Ovis aries: one gene and its partners. The protein of the gene in region 3 interacts with the protein of the main gene of each other region in a pairwise test. Links are inferred from orthologs where the notes say so. Each region holds a gene or a part of one and is shown on either strand. Other genes may lie near its edges.

What was found.
Region 1: the proteins of YTHDF1 (region 3) and DHX30 interact in a two-hybrid assay, tested with the Homo sapiens proteins (2 studies listed by BioGRID, with this or other methods). The link is inferred for Ovis aries from reciprocal best matches to the Homo sapiens genes YTHDF1 and DHX30.
Region 2: the proteins of YTHDF1 (region 3) and PRRC2B interact in a two-hybrid assay, tested with the Homo sapiens proteins (2 studies listed by BioGRID, with this or other methods). The link is inferred for Ovis aries from reciprocal best matches to the Homo sapiens genes YTHDF1 and PRRC2B.

What each region holds. Positions count from the first base shown.
Region 1 is NC_056072.1:51,936,075-51,939,716, forward strand, and holds part of DHX30 (ATP-dependent RNA helicase DHX30), read right to left. Parts: intron 3,190-3,642; exon of another isoform or gene 3,163-3,189; coding exon of another isoform or gene 2,961-3,162; intron 1,082-2,960; coding exon 951-1,081; intron 320-950; coding exon 209-319; intron 1-208.
Region 2 is NC_056056.1:5,321,962-5,325,603, reverse strand, and holds part of PRRC2B (protein PRRC2B), read left to right. Parts: intron 1-982; coding exon 983-1,199; intron 1,200-1,820; coding exon 1,821-3,642.
Region 3 is NC_056066.1:54,032,241-54,036,669, reverse strand, and holds the start of YTHDF1 (YTH domain-containing family protein 1), read right to left. Parts: upstream 2,937-4,429; 5' UTR 2,642-2,936; coding exon of another isoform or gene 2,635-2,641; coding exon 2,608-2,634; intron 2,373-2,607; coding exon 2,348-2,372; intron 1,361-2,347; coding exon 1,281-1,360; intron 1,178-1,280; exon of another isoform or gene 1,034-1,177; intron 1-1,033.

The DNA of each region.
Region 1 (3,642 bases), on a different chromosome or scaffold from region 3:
AGTAACTACAGGGGCAAGAAAATAATATCCATCTGTTCCCTCAATGGCTGAAGCAAAAAGGAACCACATGATGAAAAGGGCTTAGGATAGGTTGAGTGGTTGAACACTCTGCCATCCTAAACCTAGGAGCATCTGGGCCCAGGAAGACCATTACTGCAAAAAGTTCCCAGGAGGGAGGTCTGTGTGGTTTTCATGAGGGGAGGGTCACCTTGAACAGCTGGCAGGCCGCGGCTGCAGCCTGCCTCTCAGCGTCAATCTTCTTGCTGCCATAGCCTTCTACCTCCACGCTCTTGGGCCACTTTATGTGGAGGGTGACTTTCTGAGAAAAAGAAGAGAGAATCAGAACCCTTGCCTCTGGACTACAAAGGTATTACAAATCACACGGAGAATCCACAGGAAAGCTGCAGGCCTCATGGCAGCAGGGCTGGGTGCAAGACAGAACCCCGACCCCATCATTAGCTCCTTGGAAGGCTCCAGTCCTCCCCCCACCCCCACCAAGCCACTGTCCCACCTCAAGTTGCTTTGCTTCTTCAAAGTGCCATGTTCCAGCCAGAGGGCAAGGTGGGACCCACCCTTATTCTTAAAAATCTTCATTCAGAATGGTTTGCCTGCGTGCTTCCTGGTCCCAGGACCTACAAGACTCTGGGAGCAGGAATCATCATCAACCCTAACCCTCTACAGTTCCAAGAAGTTGAGGAAGGACCAACACCAGGGCCCACTACAGTGGCCTGTCTCACACAAGATGAGAGAGCATCTCGCTTCACTTGCCCATGTTTCCTTTCCCTAAACCAGACTCTGCTCCAGACCTAGCTTTGTTCTGAGATTCTCTGCTGACCATTCGCAATTCAAACAACCTCCACTGTGGCCTCCCTGACGAGAAATCCAGGGGAGCAAAGGGCAGCTGGTTTCCTTCCGGAGGCTCAGACCAACGTGTTTCCCTGCCACCATACCTTTTTCTTCGGTCCATTTGTATGCACGTAGACCAATTTGTCTTTTGCGTGTGAGATGCCAAGGGCTCTTCCAATCACACTGTTGAGAAGATTTTTGGGCTGTGGAAACTCTTTTAATAGGTCCCTAGAAGCTAAGAAAATAAGGACAAAAGCATTATAGTTGTGTTGCTTTAAAAACTCTGTGGGGTATGCTTCAGGGCAACCCTGGGCTGGATACTGAGGATGTTGGCTCGCGACCCAAACCACCCAGGAGCATCTTAAAAAGGAGGGACAGATGGCTTCAGGGTTTACAGGGGACAGTGGACCTAGACCCACTGGACAAGCATCTCCTTGTGAAAGAGAAGGGTCAATGCCCCAGACACCAGAGGGGAACCAGCCAGCATCCTCTTCCTCACCCAAGCTCCTGACTTTACACATCAGCTATAGAAGCCTAGATGACAGCAACCCCCCTAATCTGATGTCTGGAAGAAAGCACTAAATAGACAAAACCAAACCAACCACACACACACAGGCACACACACAGGCACACGTACACACACAGGCACACGTACACACACTGGAGGTCAAGACAACGCAAGGCCCCTCCTAAAACAACAGATACACAAAAGGGAGGAATGCCTGCAGAGTCTGAACACCAAGCCGCAGTTCTCCATCACACCTCAGCACCCTGCAAAAGACCTCCCCTTTCATCCGGATTCTGTGCAGGGACACTGATTAGAGACCTCCAGAGCTGAGCCACAGGCATGAGCTGGTCCTCCCAGGAGTTCACTGCAGTGAACCAAGTGGAGGCAGGATGCATCAGACATCATGAGAGATACCTTACATCTGCTCACTTGCACTCTGGATCAATTTCAGACCACAAATGGGTGAGATGTCCACCTAGAGGCAGCTTGTGCCAAACACAGGACTTAGAGAGACCATGAAGAATCCTGCTGAGAGTGACTGAAAACAGAAGGAAGAGTTCCAGAGCACCAGAGTGGACCTTCAGGAGATGCAGAGTCAGAGGAGATGGAGAGCTTTTTCATTCTCCACCCACAGTCTCTGGCTTATAATTCAGCTCCAAAAAATATTTTTTATAGAGCCTGTGTGTGTGTGCATGTGTGTGTGTATATATATGCACCTGTGTGCATCGATCATAAGTCACGTGGGGAACGTCTTCACAGCCCTCCACACTGATCCCCACAGGACACTTGAGAATGGCCGTGGTGTTGGGCAAGTCTCTGTGTCCTGAAAACGCTCCTCCACAAGCTCTGCTGTAACTCTGCGGCCTGGGTTCAAACTGTTTCCCTGGAGAAGACTCCCCTGTCAACTGGCCAAGAGGGAAGATTCTGCCTGGCCCTATCTCCTTCTGAAGGATCACTCTTAAAACTACTGAGAATCAAGTAGCCAAGAAAGAGTATGTAAGCAGACTCAAAGGGCTTCCACCTCACAGGAGGGCGTAACTTTAAGTAGCCCATCAGACATACCTATAATACAGATGTGCAGGGGTACCCACTCCAGCTCTATAGAGAGGCAGAGGCTAGCACACTCTGTCCATCCTTGGTCGGCAGGGGTGCTCTTACTAGTTTCATCTCCTGCACTATTCAGGAGGCAAGCGCTGGGATCCACTGTGACCAATCATTCTGTCTCTATTTCAGATCTTAAAGTCCCAGATGGATACTGAGCTTTCTCTTTTTCTTACAACGGGAAGGATGTGCTTACCCGTGATGCTCTAACCCTAGACCACCGCCCTGGCAGGAACTGGACGTTTACCTGTTTTCCCCAGCTCCCTCGTGGTACGCACCTCTCACCTACTGTTGCCAGGGCAGGCGCTCCAGTCCCAGACCTCTGCGCTTGGGGTCCATTTGGACCTGAACCACACTGAGTTTTACAGCAGTTGGGCTGCGGCCCGCCACTGAATGGCTGTCTCAGCCATACCGAAGAGGGCCCGACCCCGGCCCGCGCCCCTAGCTCTGCCATCCCCAGGAGTCAAGGGCGTCGCAGCCTGGCTGCCCCCGCCACTGCCCTCACCGTTCACCATGCTTCCATCGCCTTCCCCAGGCTCGCCGGGGGCCGCCTCGGCCTCGGCGGCCTCCTGGGTGCGGTCGGGGCGGGAGCAGCCTGTCGAGAGGCCGCGCGGGCCTCCCTGTCGCCCGATGGAGCGGGGACCCGATGGCCGCAGGCGCGGAGAGACGCCGGCGGCCAGCGCCATGAGTCTCCTGGCGGTCGCCATCTCGCTCCCGCCCGCCCCCGCGACTCCGGAGCCGGGCAGGGGCCGGGCAGAAGGGCAGGAACGGGAGACTCGGGCACCGCGCGCCCCCTGCCGGACGGGCGGACCCGGGACCGAGCCGACATCACACTCCAGTCGGCCGGTGGTGGGTCGACTGGATCGGTCTGGGATCCTGCCGAAATCACTCCCCTAGGAAATCCGAACCCACAAACTCGTCATCTGAAGGCCGGAAGAGAGAGTGGGGTTTTTCGGGAAACAGTACAGGCCTTAGCTCAATGTCCACCCAGAGAAATGAAGTAGAAGTTCCCTCTGGGTCCTACCCAGGGCTGGTAGATCGCTTCTACGTGCCCAGTTGGCTTGCACTCCAGCAGGCGGACTGTAAGATAGCGATTACTGCTAAGCTGGGGCACATCCACCTCATTTAATGGCTTACAACTAGTGAAGAATCTGGAACCAGGACAGGGAAGCCCTCTTGAATATTAG
Region 2 (3,642 bases), on a different chromosome or scaffold from region 3:
CCTCGTGATCAATACTTAATGAACGGGGTGTAATTTTAGGATTCCAGAGAGGGTCCTCGCCACCGCATGACTCAGACTACCTTTGTGCCGGAGTTGTATATTGGTAACCTTCGGACAGAGCATCCACAGCTGAAAGAAAGTATAAAACCACTAGCCTGATGCAGAATCATTTTCCTGATCAGATTATCTCAGCTTTAAAAATGGGCACAAAACAACACTGGTGGCCAGTAATTAGCTTTGTGAGATATCTGAAAAGTCAGACCCTCTTTTCTACACAGACTCTGGCCACATGGGAGGCCTTTAATGTCGTCTACAGCATCCCATCTGTTAGAACTGGACAGAGGGGCCCTAGTGAGGGGGTGCTGTCTCCCGGGCTGGTTTGTATCTGGTTGGACCGAGATGTCAGCTTATCCCTGTTTCCTCAGGCCAGTTAAGAATTGAGTGTCATCTGTGTGTCCCCTTCTCCCGTTTCCTGGAGAGAAAGTGGATTATCACTATAAGCTCAGGGGCAGAAACAAGCAGAGCTGAAGTCCAGACCCCTTTCTGAATCTTCTTGTAGGGTTTGGAAGCAGGCAGACGCTGGCTCCTTGGTGCATGTAGGCTTCCTGGAGTGTAGCTCATCTTCCCTGTGTCTGTGCAGGAGACCCTCGGGCATCTCCTGCTGCTGGCTGCCTGGCCCCTTAGCTTTCTGCTGCCAGCCATGGGCTCTCTAGTTGGTTGTGTCCTGTTTTCATCTGCCAGTTGTTTAACATCCTTCAACATAGGGGATCTTCATCGGGAACTAAGACTGGACCTCCAGGGCCTTCGAACAGGCCTTTCAGATGGCGTGCCTGTGTGCTTTTGGAGGCTCTATGATCAGATGACGTGAAGCAGGTGGGCTGCCGCATCCGCAGGATGGTCAGGGCAGCTCGTCTCCTCTGGGCCTGTGGGCCACCCATGGTTTACTGAACGAGGTGACCAATTGGCTGTTTGCCTTCTTCAGGATTGATGAAACCCATAATGCCCCCGGATTCCCTTAGTGGGACTGCCTGTCGCTCTGAGGACCAGAGCTGTGTGCCCCCGCTGCCAGAAAGGAAGGTGACCGCCATTGACCCCACCCCCGTGTGGAGCCCCGAGGGTTACATGGCGTTGCAGAGCAAGGGCTACTCGCTGCCCCACCCGAAATCCAGCGACAATTTGGCCATGGACATGCATGTCAGGTGAGGTGACGCTTGGTCCTGCTGCCTTGCAGCTGAAGGAGGAGTCTCGGTCCTCAGTGAGATGGGCTCTGGGAGGAGGCCGTCCCGGGAGACACCGCCCTCAGGAAAGGGGCGCCTTGAGAGAGACCAGTGTGCTCTGGGAAAGGAGAGTGAGATGAGGATAGCTGGGTGCTTTCATGTGAGAGGCTCCGATGGTGACTGAAGGTCCAGGAGGAATCCTGGGGTCAGAGGCAAATCCCAAAGAACCTTGGGCCAGGGCCGTGGGGTGGGGTTGAGCATGTGTGTTACGGCTCCTTCCTGTGAAAGTAAGGTGAGCTGGCTCTGCCGGCCCAGCACCCCAGACTCTTCTCGGACTTTCCGGCTCCAGCGTGTTTGAACCAGAGGATGCCCAGCTGTTCGTGGAGTCCGCCAGCCACTGATCATCACTCTGGACTCCAGGGGCCGCCACCAGCCCATGGCCCAGCATCTCTGAGGCCTGTTTAAAGATAGAGCGAATGTTCGTGCCTATGTTTTTTTCTTTTTTGTTTAAAAAAAAAATTTTTTTTTTTTAAACTGTGTTCAGCGTGGAAACCAGGAACCAGGCTCCAATCACATTGACTGATTTTTCTGGTTCCTTTTCAGGAGTGAAAGCTCTTACTCTGCCTCCCCCGGAAGGTCAGGGGGCATGAGTGCCCAGCGCGAGCTCCTTGAGGAGAGAGGGCAGGAGTACTTGAGCGCTTCTGACAAGAAGGCCCCAGCAGACTGTGACTCCCGTGTCTCCTCTCAGAGAGTAGGCCAGGAGCTTTTGTTTCCACCCCAAGAAAATGGTCAGGAAGCAGGCACTCCTGTGAGTCACACCCCAAACCTCAGGTGCTCCCCACTGGAGCCTGACTTTGCCCCCACGGAGAAAAAGCCCGAGTATGGTGACTGGGATGTGAACCACCAGTCAAAGGTTGCCGACCCAGACGCTGCGGTTGAGAAGGAGGTACCGCTGGAGGAGCCACCCTTCAGCGTCTCCTCCTGGGAGAAGGAAGGGAGCCCAAGCAAGCCGCCGGCTCTGGAGCCTGAGTGGACGCCAGAAGCCCGGGGCACCAGCAGCCAGCACCCGGAGCAGACCAGCAGGACCCGTAGGTCCGGCCCCATCAAGAAACCTGTCTTGAAGGCCCTCAAGGTGGAGGACAAGGAGAAGGAGCTCGAGAAAGTAAAGCCGGAACTGGCAGAGGGGAACACCCGCCTGGCCCGGGAGACGGGGCCTGTCCATGAAGTGGCTGAGGATGAGGACCAAGAGAACGACCCCGCGCTGGCCAACGTGGCCCTGGCCACCTCAGAGGACCAGGGCTCAGCCCGTGGCAGCTTGGGCCGTGAGGCCAGCTGTCCCGAGGAGGACAACAAGCCTGATGGGGCCCCGGAGGCCAGACCCTCCAGGGAGGCCAGCCACACACCCCCGACCAAGAGGAATAACTGGATCTTCATTGATGAGGAGCAAGCCTTTGGGGGCCGGGGGCCGGCCCGGGGCCGAGGCCGCGGGTTCCGAGAGTTCACCTTCCGCGGGCGGCCCACTGGTAGCGGCCTGTGTGGCGGGGGCGTCCTTGGGGCGCGGGGCCTCTACAGCGGCAGTCAGAGGAGTGGCCGGGGCCGCGGGCCGCCGGATGACTTCCCCCGGGCCAAGCCCCGGCGGAGGATTGCCAGCGAGACCCACAGCGAGGGCTCTGAGTACGAGGAGCTTCCCAAGCGGCGGCGGCAGCGAGGCACCGAGCCTGGGGATGAGGGCACGCTCCCGGAGCGGGAGGAGGCCACGGGAAGGAAGGGCGACTTCAGGGAGTCCTGGCGGTCCGGCAGGATGCACCCCGAGGACCACAGTGGGCCTGAGGCCAAGAACCGAGGCCCCCGGGCCTTCGGGCGTGCCCTACCCCCGCGCCTGAGCAACTGTGCATACAGCCGGAGAACCTTCGCGGCTAAGGAGGTGGCCCCTTGGCCCAGCCGGGGTCCTGGTGCCTCCTGGCAGGAGCCTGGCCCCCCTGATGCGTGTGGGGCCCGGCGGCCCTTAGACAGAGACTATATCCCAGATGCCTACAGACGCCCCGACGCCTTGGGCTCCCGGGGCTTCGAGGATGGCCGCCTGGAGGACCGGAGGGCCTTCTTCCAAGATGACCATGCTGCAGAGTCCGAAAACACAGAGAACCGGCCCTTCCGGCGAAGGCGGCCCCCACGCCAGGACAAGCCGCCCCGCTTCCGGCGCCTCCGGCAAGAACGGGAGGCCCTGGGCCTGTGGGGGCCGGAGGACGAGCCACCTCTGGTGGCCGGCCAGTGGCCGGGCCGTCCCAGACCCTGCCCTGGGGACAGGAGCGGCGCCTCAGGCCGCAGGTCCCCTGAGCTCGCCTATCAGAACTCCTCCGACCATGCCAATGAGGAGTGGGAGACAGCCTCTGAGAGCAGCGACTTCAGTGAGAGGCGGGAGCGGCGG
Region 3 (4,429 bases):
AGCCATCTACTCCTTTTTAAAACATCCTACCTTATGAAAATTTGTTTTAAGTGAAGCAACCTCCTCTCCCGATATTTTTGGTTAAAATTTAATACGTAACACTGCTGGAGCAAATCACGCAAGAGAAATAAGTTTAAGTCTGCTCAACTTCCTGCCACGCCTCTAGCTGAAAGGCCATCACCGAGCAGTCTCTTGTGCTGCCGAGAGGAGGGGTGGGTTCTCGGGGATGGGGTGGGGTGTGTGTGGCCCTCAGCCTCTGTCCTGCCAAGTGGAGGAGGAAAAAGGAGAATGGAGAAAAGCCCTAAGACACTCCAGAGAAGAGCAGACAAGCAAGGAAACAGGCAGCCCAGCTTCATTCCACAGAAAGAGGCAGAGCCTCATTTGATTCTAAAGCAAACATACACCATGCACTTTAAAAGTAACAGACGTTTTGTTTAAACTTGAACTCAAACTGAGCTAGTGGTTTTAGACAGGACAACACAGCCCCCCAGGAGACACCTGTGACATTTCTGGTTGTCACACGGGATGGCATGGATGACATTTCATGGATGCAGGCCCAGGAGGCTCCTAAACATTCTAGTGTGCAAGATGGCCCCCCAAACAGAAAGCACTTCAATTCACAATCCCCTTACTGCCATGGCTAAGAAAACAACACTTAAGAGAACGGATGGCTACAACCCATTAGGTACTGCCTTGGGCTCTAAGGGCACCCTGTAGTCTCACCCTGCCCACAACTCTTTCAGGAGTCACCTCTTCAAATTCTAGAGAAAAGTAACCGAGCACAGGGAGGGCAAACCATCAAGAAAGTGTCACAGTCAGCAGTGGCCTGAAGAACCCAAAGATGGAGCCTCACTCTAGAGTCCTGCTCTAGCTGCTCCTAGACCAAAATTCCAATTGCTCAGAGTTTAAAAAAAAAAAAAAAAAAGTCTCTGGAAAGCTTCAGAGAAATAAGTGCAGCTCCACTTTGTCAAACGCAATGCCATCGTTGACCCAGCAATGCTGAGACCAACCAACTAGAATGCTGCATGCCTACCAGCCCCAGTGGGATGTCATCTCCTCCAGAGAGAAGACCAGCTTCACTGCGCTCATGCCCCAACTTCCATGTGATGCTGCTCTTCAAAACAAGCCTTTGTCAGCTTCTTACTTTACCTTTAGTACTTTATGGTCTGCATCTCTGCTGTTCAGGATGATAAAGTAAGAAATACAGTAGTAAAGGTGTATTTACTTTTTCAAAGCTCAGTTGAAATAAATGCAAACATGTTATAAAAAGATAAACTCACCTGGTTTGACTGTCCAGAAAGGTAGGGCTCAAAGTCATTGTCATGAACGGTATCCTTCTGATGCAAAGAACCATTTTGTACTGCAAGAGAATTTGCAACATATTACCTTCGAATTCTTAAAACCTTGCTTTTAATCATGGAAATTGGAAAAAGTCAAGTTTATGTCCATCAACTTCTAGAAATTGCTTTTACTTTAAAAATGGACAGACATTCAGAATTGATACACAGCTAATTAGAAAAGTGATACAAAACTTTCAATAACTTAGGTTACGATTTTTACGAAAATTATTTGGAATTTGGTAGACACTAACAAAACAGAGGTGCAAATGAGATAATGCCAGGAACTCATAACCCGGTTTCAAAGGTCTTTGTATGCCCAGTGAGGAGTGAGGCTGGGAAGCTGTAACTGGACGTCTCTGAACTATTATCTGGCTGCACTCTTACTTTCCACTGTCACCACACTCAGCCAGGAAAGGAGGGGAAGGTAAAGAAGTGCTGGACCTTCTCCAATCTCCAAACGTGATAACCCTATTTGGTTACACCCGAGGCACACACACCCCGTTTCAAAATAGTCTATGGAGTAAACATGAAGCGTCACCAGTTTTCCCAGGAGTGAGTTCTGGGGGTGGACCCCAAGCCAGACTATCCCAAGAGATTACAAGACACTCAAAAGACAGAGGCTTGAACTACTGGGGTAAGGCACCAGAGTACAGGGCCAAGGGGCCAGCCCCATGCCTGGGGTCACGGACAGGAGGATCGCTCAGCCCCTGGCCTCCTTTTCTCCCCCGCCACTACCCTGCGGAAAGAGGGAACTACGGAATTACTCTCCCGGTCGATTTACTTACTTCTTGAAAAGTCCCTGTTTTTGACCTGTTTCGTCTCCCCCAATATCAAAAGCAGAAGTTTTCTCTCCCTGAAGCTGAGAAAGGAAAACTCCGCGGTCCTGGCCGCCGCTTCGGAGACCTCGCTCTCCCCCATACACGTGCACCGGGTCTCGGCGAGCGCCGCCCCCTCCGCTCCCGGGCCCCTCCGCCCCGGTCCCTGGCTGTCGTCCCGACTTCGCTCACCTTTATTATCTTGTCCTTTTGTTCTCTGATTCGCCGCAGGCCGGACATGCGAACGGACAGCACCCGGGGAGAAGAAACACAACTTATCCACGAGAACCCCTCCCGGCGGGCGGCGCGCTCCGGCCCGAACCGGTCCGTGGCCCCAGACGACGGCGCTCCGGTCCCGTGACTCCAGCCCTAACCCGCGACCCAGACCCCGGCACCGCGAGCGGCCCCCGCGACCCCGCCGCCCGGCCCCGCGACCGCGGTCCCGCCACTACCTGGGGGTCCACGCTGGTGGCCGACATGCTTCATTAACAGCCGGCGCGGCGCGGGGCCAGGGCGCCCGCCGGCTCGGGCCTCCCCGCGAGGCCGGGCCTGTCACCCGAGCTCTCGCGGCCCCGGGCCCGCCGCCTCCTTCCCGGGCGCCGGCCGGCCGGGCGGCGGCGGCGGCCGGGCGCGCGGGCCGCTTGTGGGCAGGCGCGAGGCGGCTAGCAGGACGGGACGCACTGACTCGGCGCCGACTCCAATGGCGGCGGCGGCAGGGGCAGCGGCGGCGACGGCAGCGGCAGCGGCAGCGGCAGCGGCGGGGACCAGGCGGCGCGACGTCAGCGAGCGCGGGGCAGGCCGGGAGGTCGACGGTAGCCACGCGCCGCGCCTGCGCGCTGCCCCCCGGCGGGACGGATCTCGCGCTCTGGTCCCAGTTTTGCGCGGCGGGATGGGGCTAGCCCCGGCAATAACGTGGGCATGTCCTGAAGTGCCGCGGGCCCAGCCCCGCAGGTGTGCACCTGTCTGGCCTCGCTACCTCAGCCACAGCGGTGGCAATGATGCTGCGGCTGCACGGCGCGTGCCGGCACAGGTTGGCGCAGATTGTGAGCCCGGTGGCACCCTCCGCGCTTGTCCCTCAGGTGTGAAGAAGAGCAACCCGCGAGTGCGAACGTCCGCTGAAAGCCACTTTCAGCGGGCTGCAGTCCGCTCTACCCCACACCTCGCCCCAAACGCCCCGCCAACCCTCGGAGGGGAGCCCAGGCTCTGAGGTTAGCGGTCCTCCGGTGGCTGCTCCTGGACTTCTGCAGGCTCTGTTCCCATTGCGCCCTAGGCTCGGGCATCCTGAGATTGCCGCCTAGCGAGTGCTCTCTTGGGTCTCCTTGGGGCTCCCCAGCTTATAACCATTTTGCATTTAGATTCTTGACCTCAAATTTCACCACAGGGAGGAAAACAGTTCAGCGCTGCACTTTGCCTTAGTCCAGGACCTGCTCAGGGCATTAGAGTCTCTATTCGGGGAATGGAGAGACACTTCTTGCCCTCCTTCCTGAAGGGACATCACTTCCCCACTTATCACTCACTCCCACCCTATCCCACACCAGGCCCCCAGCCTAGACACCTAGCGGGCCTCCCAACTCCTGTGGCCCTCCTCCAACATGGCTTCCAGATAGGTCTCTTCTTTTCCAGCTCTGGCATTTGTAACATCTTCCCAAGGCCTAGATCTGCTGAAGGTGAAAGGCCTAGAATGCTGGCTCTCCCACCTTCTGGTGGCCCCAAGTGTCCCTGGCTCTCTGCCTGTGTCTCACACGAGCTTCTCCCTGTGTTGTGTCTTTGAAACTTCCTCTTCCCATGAGGACACTGTCATTGGATTTAGGGCCACCCTAATCCAGTGTGACCTCATCTAAGCTTCATTGTATTTACACAGACCCTATTTTCAAATAAGGCCATACTCACAGGTACCCAATGGACAGGAGTCTGGGGGTTCACTGTTCAGCCAGGACAGGGATCACAAATGATATCAACTGAAACATTTGAGGTGCTCAACAGGGGCTGAAATATAGGCCTCAGGTGGTGCAGCCACATCAGGCTGCTGGCCAGGGAAGAGGCAGGCAGGATCTGAGAGCCACCATTGGACCTACCCCAGACTGCCACCCAGCCAGCTGGGAAATCCGGCAGTGGTCCTCACTGATGTTGGGGGGTGGGGTAGCGTGAGGATCGCCCAGAGCAGGGAGCAGAGGGTCCTCAGAGGCCCAGTGTAGAGATTCTGTGGGCCCAGCATAGGGCCTGAGGCCCCCTAGACCAGCCCTGAGGGGGGAAGCCTTTTCCTCTGGCAAACCA